2 linked regions of the Drosophila melanogaster genome follow. The protein of the gene in region 2 binds, or shares a complex with, the protein of the main gene of each other region. Each region holds a gene or a part of one and is shown on either strand. Other genes may lie near its edges.

What was found.
Region 1: Rad9 (region 2) and Rad1 share a complex: the UniProt entries of both Drosophila melanogaster proteins name them as parts of the 9-1-1 checkpoint clamp complex.

The regions. Positions count from the first base shown.
Region 1 is NT_033779.5:2,572,732-2,576,889, forward strand, and holds Rad1 (radiation insensitive 1), read right to left. Parts: upstream 2,322-4,158; 5' UTR 2,251-2,321; coding exon of another isoform or gene 2,145-2,250; intron 2,085-2,144; coding exon of another isoform or gene 1,651-2,084; 5' UTR 1,650-1,650; coding exon 1,545-1,649; intron 1,472-1,544; coding exon 752-1,471; 3' UTR 705-751; downstream 1-704. Other genes in the region: Cyp309a2 (cytochrome P450 309a2), read right to left, coding at 1-278; Sws1 (SWIM domain containing Srs2 interacting protein 1), read right to left, coding at 1,651-2,084, 2,145-2,250; insv (insensitive), read right to left, coding at 2,720-3,841, 3,906-3,914.
Region 2 is NT_037436.4:18,869,315-18,874,090, forward strand, and holds Rad9 (Rad9), read right to left. Parts: upstream 3,240-4,776; 5' UTR 3,171-3,239; coding exon 3,137-3,170; intron 3,081-3,136; coding exon 2,854-3,080; intron 2,800-2,853; coding exon 2,648-2,799; intron 2,540-2,647; coding exon 1,684-2,539; coding exon of another isoform or gene 1,582-1,683; exon of another isoform or gene 1,539-1,581; coding exon of another isoform or gene 1,467-1,538; coding exon 1,365-1,466; coding exon of another isoform or gene 1,300-1,364; intron 1,247-1,299; coding exon of another isoform or gene 1,114-1,246; intron 1,057-1,113; coding exon of another isoform or gene 994-1,056; 3' UTR 731-993; downstream 1-730. Other genes in the region: Grx1 (glutaredoxin 1), read left to right, coding at 189-332, 393-497, 563-658; Blos3 (biogenesis of lysosome-related organelles complex 1, subunit 3), read left to right, coding at 994-1,056, 1,114-1,246, 1,300-1,538; Uggt (UDP-glucose-glycoprotein glucosyltransferase), read left to right, coding at 3,636-3,864, 4,048-4,776. UniProt on the Drosophila melanogaster protein: Component of the Rad9-Rad1-Hus1 (9-1-1) checkpoint clamp complex.

The sequences.
Region 1 (4,158 bases), on a different chromosome or scaffold from region 2:
TGCACGTCGAAGACCAGATTGCTCTTGCGGGTGAGCAGGCCCGGATACGTGCCCAGCAGGGTCAGGGGCCGCGCCGTGACCAATCCCCGCTTGCGCCAGTACTTGTGGTGCCAGGTGAGGTACAGGTAGATGGGCAGCACCAGCAGGTGCAGCAGGATCAGGGCCAGCGATGCCAGGATGTACATGTTTCCGCGTTTCGTGTTGCTGCACGCGCCTTTGGCTCTCGTCCAGTACTGATCGATCGGACGGAAGTCGAAGCTGAATCTCTCCGGCATCATCGCTGCCCGGAATCGGATGGAAAATCTATCGATGCGGAATCCTAATGTATTTATTGATAGCTGACTTATCAGCTACTGTTCGATTGTAGTTCTGTTTACTTTCACACTGTGCAGTGCATTGAACAAATAGAAATAAACATATTCAATGTTCTTTATTGTTCTGTCTGACAAATAAAGTTGTTTTCATTGGAGCAGCGTACCATTATCATGCCCTCTTCTTCAGAGTCATTGTAAATGGCGATGCAACTTTCTCCTCCGGGAGTCCACGTCATTTAAAGTATTATAAAGTAATATCAAATCGTTCCAAGGCCACCTTAAGTACTCAACTGAATGCTGAATCCATCTTATATTTGCATGAGAAGCATTAACAATTGACCCACACGCTAACTACAGACCTCAATTAGATTTACATGATTTCAAGATTTTAGCAATATTTTAAAGTTCTATTTTATTAGCTACCTAGTAGTTTCGGTTTAATCAGTGTTGAGCAAAGGAATTATGAAGAACTGAATGAATATCTCCTCCTGGCTATCGCCCTGCATTACCAGATGCAGTTCTAGGAGGCCAACGGAGTTCGTTTTAATGGCCACCTTGGTGGCCGACTGCATCGCCTTGTTGGTCATGCGGATCTGCTGGCTCTTGTAGCGAGCCACCACCGTCTGTTTGCAGTTAAACATCATCATCATGGGACTCGTCTTTGCCACTTCGACGCTGAACACCGCCTGCATGATCCCCACTGTGGTGATCTTAAAGTGCGGGCGGTTCGGCGATGTCACGAACTCGAACTCCTCCGCGGACTTCTCCAGCTCATTGAACACCTTCGATAGGTTCGGTCCGCGTACGAAAATAACATTAAGATCCGGATCCTTCAGATTCTGATCGTAGTCAATGGGCTCATCGCAGTCCATGGTTTTGATGGCGCACTCCGTGCTCACATCATCGTCGTCGTGCGGATACAGAATTATCTTCAGGGGATCGCCCTTATCCCTGTACATCATTCGCAGGCTGCAATCGGCGGATCCGAAGAGACTGAGACACTCGGACAGCACATTCATTTTCACACCGAAGCACTGGAAGTCCTGCACACGGAACTCCATGAAGGCACCCGGCGGCATGAAAAGCGTTGCCTGGATGGACTTGCCCTGCTCCACGGTGATGCGCAGACCATCTTCGGAGACTTGCACCATCCCATACTGTGGGTAAAACAATAGGTTGTTACCGAGTTAAGTTGGTTAACGAATAAAGAGAGTTCGAGTTAATCCTTACATCATTAAAGCAGATTGACTTGATGGCCTGGATGAAGGTCTTGATGTGCTCCACTCGAGCGACGAATTTGCAGTCGCCGTAGGGCGATGGCTCCACATCAGTCATCCTAGTCCCGAAAGACGTCCGTCCGCAGCTCCTTGATATCCTCTTTCTTAAGGATCTTCTCGGTGGTTTTCCCGCCCGTGTGCTTCAGAAATTGATGGAGCCGCAATGCCAGGATGTGCTGGCAGGTGTAGGACACCCGGCTCTCCTCGCTCCAATCCTCTAAAATGCCCGGTTCGCCACTGGGAAGGTCCTGGTAGAGGATGCCTCGCGGCAACTGCAGCACGTGGCACTGGAAGAACTCACACTTGCAGAAACTTACGCCCGGAATCAAGCGGAAGTACTCGGTTCCCTTGGAAATTTCTACCACGCACACGGATCGATTGTTCTTGGCGTGGAAGAAGGAGAAGTTGTGGTCGTCCAAGAGGTGTAGCGATCGCAGGACCAGTTCTTGGCCCAATAAAATGGATAGATCGTAAAAGAACTGTCCGCGTTCCTCTGAAAAGTTTGAAATCCAGAGTAGTTACTACAGAATCTTTCTGATTTGATAGCTCGTACCTTTTGTAAGGCTGTTGGACTCTGCTTTACTCCGATATAATTCGAAGACTTGATCAACCAGATGCGGAACAAAATAGGATGTAGTGTTTTCTGACTCGGACGCCATTCAGGACATTATTAAATCCAGTTTCTTAAGTGAATTTTGTTTATAAACAATACCGCCAAAAAGTCGTCAGGCGTCAACAGCTGTTCTGAACAAAAGTCTGGCAGCGCTGCATATTGGTGATTTAATTATTAGGGTGACCAGTTCCAAGCCTTATATGGTAAATGAATTTCGCGCCAATTATCTAATTCGAATTGGGACATTTACTCTTTTCAACTTTTTAAAGAATGAAGGCTTTATGCAGAAACCCTTATCTACCCTGCACAACCCCTGAAATGTAAATAAAACCACAATAACTTTTGGTTCGGATTGGTAAAATCATCTTCGAGATCTTTAAAAATCTGCTACACGTTAGTTCGATGTAGTGCTCTACTATCTATGGATTGTGAGAGTTTGTGCGGGCATTACAGCCGTTTTTGGTGCTATTCTAAGTCATTAATGATTAAGTGCTAACAAATTTCTACTAATACATCTAAATAATGTTCTCCTTTTCGTGTTTGATGCCACTGCTGCGTCGCTTGACGTTCTGGATCTTCATCATCTTGTTCTCGTCGGCGCACTTGGTGGTGATGGCGTTGCGCACCTCCTTCTCACTGGCATTACACTTGTGCGTCACTGCGAATATGATGTCCTGGATCTTCCCAGGATCGAGCATTCGCTTGAGCGGCTTGTCCTGATCCTTGAAGGCGGGCGACGGCTTGCCCGTCATCGAATGGGTGGCCAGAGTTTCCCGGTCGAAGATCGTGACCAGTAGTTTCCGGGTGGCCAGCGAGCACACCGACCAGTTAATATTCTCGAAGACACTGGCGGGCACACAGGTGTTGTTCGGGCCAATGGACACCATCACGTTGTCCATGTTTTGCTGTTGGCCCTTGTTGAGATCGGTAAAACTGCCATTACGGGCTTTGACTTGGGGTTTGGCTGGTAGTTTTATGTTCTGCCGCGGGATTTCTTCCTGCAACTGAATCTCCTGCAGCTTGCGGCGTTTGATGAACTGTAGTGGAGTGTCGGCGGACTCGGAGGAACCATCCCTCTTTATGCCGTTGCTAATCCTGTACTGCTGCTGGGAATTGTGATGATTGCTCTGCTGATGATTCTCGTCGCCCAGGCAAATCTCCAGGCGATCTGAGTCCGCAGAGGTGCTCAGGCTGTTCAGACTCTCCGCCGCCAGGCGAATCTCAATGGCATCCGCATCGTCGGGTGCCGAGATGATCTTGTAGTCCAGAATCTGGGGATTCTGCGCGGGCGCACATATCTCTGAACTCGGTGGCGTGAGAATGTGGTGGCTCTGGACCGCGGGCGGCGTGGGTGGTCTACTTTCTGCCAGCAGGGAGGATGCCTGTTGCATCCTGGCGGAGGTGGCATGAATCTGGGATAGCAGATCCTTGTGCTGCTGCAGTTTGGCCTCCAAGTAGCGGACCTTATCGCGGAGCGCTCTGTTCTCGACCTCCACTTGCGGGTCCGGCGCGGAGATGCTGCGAAGCACCTCGAAGTCCACGCTAGAAGTCTGCGACCAGGCATTCAGAAACAAGGGCTTGCTCCTCCTTGCCTGCGAATCCTCGCGTGCAGTGGCGCTGACTATGCGCTGATATTGCTGCAATTCGATGGGAAAAACTCTTGATCAACATATTCGGTGGAGATATCCTGCAGCTACTCACGTTTTCCATGTTCAATCCTCAAAGGATCTGCGTCAACTGAAAATTGGCGGCAGAATGCGAAAAGTGGTTGCATTCCTACCTGCACGCACACATGCGCACGCATATACGGGGAAGAGAGCGCCTGCCTCTGCGTGTGTGTGAGTGTGCCCTCCAGGTAGCTGATATCCTATTCCTGTTTCTGTTTCAGGACCCCGTCTATTTCCCAACTAGTCCAAGTCCAGCTGTCTTTTCCTTTCTTCGCATGGGATTTGTT
Region 2 (4,776 bases):
TTATGATTACGAGATGGTAATTTCACAACGTGGCAGCTCTGGCGAGAGCAACAACAGCTGATTGCTAATCAATGATTAAAAAACTGATTAAATTAGAGATAATTCTCCGCAGCTTACACTTGTCGCAGCTTTCATTGCTCCCCGCATTGCCCCCCAAGTTTCCGTACCCCCTCCTGGATTTCGAGCTTATGGGTGCAGTTGGATCCGCTTTGAGATCCCCAATAGTCGACATGTCCACCAAGCAGGCGAAATTCGTTGAAAACACCATTGCCAGCAACAAAGTGGTGATATTCAGCAAGACCTACTGTCCCTACTGCACGATGGCCAAAGAGGTGAGAAAGTTGCGAGACCTTGAAAAGTCCCAAACAGTGATAAACATCTTTGCGTTCCAGCCCTTCAAAAAGCTCAATGTGGACGCCACCATAATAGAACTCGATGGAAATCCCGATGGCAACGAAATTCAGGCAGTTCTGGGCGAGATTACCGGTGCCAGAACGGTGGGTGCACTAAATATTTTACATTATAAAGATTAATTATCATTTGTAACCTGTGTACTGTGTAGGTTCCCCGCGTCTTTATCGATGGCAAATTCATTGGCGGTGGCACTGACATCAAACGAATGTTCGAGACAGGAGCTCTGCAAAAATATTTCCAATAAATAGTGTTCTTACTCTGTTCAGAACTCCGTTTTATGTAAAAAGTTTGTTAATCTTCAAAGTCCTTAATAAATGCTTTTAAAATTTATGTTTTGCGCTTATTGAGATTACATCGTCTTCTGAGTAATGGGCAAAGTGTTACTAATACCATTCATTATCCGTTAATAATTTTTATGATTGTAGTTCTACGGATCTGTTAGCATAGATATCACAAACATAAGAATATCCCCTTCAACTGCGCCCATGTGAGCAACAGTTTGCAGTTTTAACTGATCTGGCAGCGCCGTAACTGCAGTAAATAAAAAATTGTTTACAATAGTATTTAATAAACTGAATGATGGCTGATTTGGTGAGCGGTGAAGCTTCTGAATCCGACGAGGAGCTGCAGGAGAAGAATAAGGTTGTTGAGGATATCATTTATAAATAACAGTCCAATAATAAAACCATTTTGTGACAGATTTTTGCTGCTGAAATTTCGGGCGAAGCCTCCGAAGAGGATGATGAAGACATTTACGAGCAAGGCCGAAGCAGCAACCAGGTCAACAGCACGGCTTCCATTTACCGGAATAATCTGCTTCAGCGGAAACTAAGTATGTCACCAATTCTGTGCCTTCAAACATTTCAACTTAATGCCCTTTTCCAGTCGAAAACAACATTGCCATTTGGAGATCCCTTACCGCTTTCACTCGCAGCTTTGTGTTGAGTGCATCAAAGCAGCTCGTAACCACTGATCAAATGCTCATCAAGTCGCAACATAGTCTTCAGTCGGCTCACACATCCCTGCAGCAGGCCCAGAAGAACGCCCAGGACCTGCAAAACAGGGTGGCTGATGTTATTACCAGCAACTTCCTCCCGCACATAAGCATCCAGAAGGCAACCTGACTTAGACGTATAGTGTATTTGCTGATAAACGATCAAATCTAGGCTAATCCTCTGTATCGGAATTGGGCGCATAGACCTGAGTGTTGGGTGAGGGCTCCCGCGGCACGTAGGTCCTCTGAAAGCAACGTGAGAAGATGGTTCGCACCTTGTTAGGGCGCTCAGGTGACTGGGGTATAGTTTCGTCCTCGTCGGAGGAGCTTTTCGCAGGTTTAGGTTGTTGAGAGTCGTCTGTGTTGATAAAGCAAACCTCCGTGCTGTTCGGCGGCTCTGGAGCAGGTGCCATGCTGGCCTCCAAAGCGGCATCCGCGGCTGCCAGCATGAGAGCCTCTTGTTCCGCCTCATCTTCAATCAGAACCACAGTGTCCACCTCGGCTAGGATGCGAGGGTGCTGAACAGATGGCGCCTCCGAGTCCCGGAACTGAAACAGTGGATTATCTAGGCTCGATTCTAATTGGGTCTCCTCAACTCGCCGTTTTGGCTGCACTGCAGCCGGTTCCGAAGAGCTGCCTTTGCGTTTGTTGGTCACATTCGGCTTCGAAACGCTGCTCTTTCGCTTTGCGGCCGCCGCTCGTACATCCTCATCCTGCACTGTCAGATCCTTTTGACAATAATCTTCCGAGAAGCTTATATCATCGGGGGATAGCGTGGACATGATCAGCAAGCATTCAATCTCGCCATGCTTCTTAATTTTGAGCAGGAAAGGCATGCCCGCTTCGTCGAACTCCAGGGTCAGCGAAGCATTTAAGCACTCGGCGAAGAGGAGAAATGCTCGGAATTCCTTAATGCAGAATGTAATGACCGTCTCCTTCGTTACCTGGTACTGCTCAAATTCACTGGGCTTAAGTTTCAGCTGCGTGCGCATGAACTTATCATTAACTCGGGCTCCTTCTATGTAGTTTTTGGCCACCACACTGCCCGAGTTTGCCTCCAAAGTAAGTTCCTCCTCTGAGGAGTTAAAGTTATTGGATATATCCGTCAACAGCTTGTGATCGCCACGGATTCTGAAATGTTGAGTAGTAAATTCGGATTTATATGGGCATAGTTGTTTTAAGAGAAATAAGGTAAGGAGATAAACTTAATAGTTATCCTTAACACAAACCAAAACTCACATATTCGGCATCTGATCGGTGTTAATGTTTGTGTTAATGTTTTGGTCGTCTATGATGGAAATGGTGGCCTCCTTTGTGGTCTCCAGCTTACAGCGGAGATTCACCTGCAGGTTGGTCTGGTTGTCCAGCAAGTTGAGTTCACAGTACTCCACCTGGAACATAATATTCTTAACAACTAATCCCAGTGAGCAGACTTTCGAACTTACCTCATTCATGTTGCGGAACACGGCCAAACATCCCTTCATGGAGATCTTGCAGTAGAAATCTGAGTGCGGCGGCATGTCATACACTTCGAACATGGATCTTTTGAACGATATGCTGCCCACTGCGGATTGGGTGGCATTTATGGCCCGCATCTGCAAGGATTGCTGGTCGATCTCGATGAACATCTCCTTGCCCACCTTGGACAGCGATTGTACGGCTTTGGCGATGACTTAAAAAATGAATTCTTTTAGTTATCAATATATTTTGCTGTTTATTATGTGGTACCTCTTGCATTGCTGCCCTCTAAAGTGTATTTCATTGGCAATATTTGCACTATGTTTTTGGTCGCGAAATTCGCGCTGAAATTTGTAAACAAACAAATTAGAGTGATAGTAGTCGCACAACAGGTATGAAAAATACCAACAAAGGAATTTAGTTACCCATTTATGCATTTTGAAGTAAGTATGTACTATTTTTATATTTCAATAATTTCTTTTATAATTTAAAGCAAAATATTTCCATATTGACAATTGTCCGTAAAATAAATAAATTTAAATAAGTTCTTCAACCCGATGTAGTTCCAATGTAGTCTGGTCACACTGCGGCATGCCGGTTCATCAACGAACGCCACATCAGTTCTAAATCAAATTAAGAAAAACTGGGCTAAAACCAGCCGAAAACTGGTGAAAAGTAAAATATTTGGAGAAGGAAAGCCTTAAGTTCCTCTCTACGCTTAGTATACGTAATGTGCGTGGTTTAATCTACGTTAAAACAAGTGGAAACCATGTTACGTGCCGTGGCTTTGTGTGTGTCTGTGGTGCTCATAGCACTATATACGCCAACTTCTGGGGAATCCAGTCAGAGCTATCCCATCACCACGCTAATCAACGCGAAATGGACGCAGACGCCCCTATATCTGGAAATCGCCGAGTATCTGGCCGATGAGCAGGCGGGCCTCTTCTGGGATTACGTTTCGGGGGTGACCAAGTTGGACACGGTTCTCAACGAATATGGTTTGTGTTTATAAGTCATGGAGAACCCGCATTAAAGAGCTTTTATATTCTCCTCAATGTGAATCGAATCCATATAAAATCAAGTAATGGTTCGGAATATAAAATCACCTATTCCCAAAGCCCTATAATGTGATCTTTTCCCAAAGGGTAATTTATTTTTCTGATTACGTTTTCGCTTTTCAGATACCGAGTCGCAACAGTACAATGCCGCCTTGGAGCTGGTCAAGAGCCATGTGAGTTCTCCCCAATTGCCCCTGCTTAGGCTGGTGGTATCCATGCATAGCTTGACGCCCCGGATCCAGACCCACTTCCAGTTGGCCGAGGAACTGAGGAGCAGTGGCTCTTGTCAGAGCTTTACTTTTGCCCAGGTGGGTTCCGAACTGGCCTGCAGCTTTAACGAGCTGCAGAAGAAGCTGGAAGTGCCGCTCGCCAAGGATAGCTTGGATGCTTCTGTTGTCACCTACAGCTTTGATCACATTTTCCCTGGCAGTGAGAACAATACCCGCACTGTGGTACTATACGGCGATTTGGGAAGCTCTCAATTCCGCACCTATCACAAACTATTGGAAAAGGAAGCCAATGCTGGCCGGATTCGTTACATCTTGCGTCATCAATTGGCCAAGAAGGACAAGCGACCGGTACGACTTTCGGGCTATGGAGTGGAACTCCATCTGAAGTCAACGGAATACAAGAGTCAGGATGATGCTCCAAAGCCCGAAGCTGGTTCCACTTCTGATGAGGATTTGGCTAATGAATCGGACGTCCAGGGCTTTGATTTCAAGGTGCTGAAGCAGAAGCATCCTACACTTAAGAGAGCGCTGGATCAACTGCGTCAGAGGCTTCTTCAGGGAAACGATGAGATCGCCCAATTGAAAGCATGGGAGTTCCAGGATTTGGGTCTCCAGGCGGCCG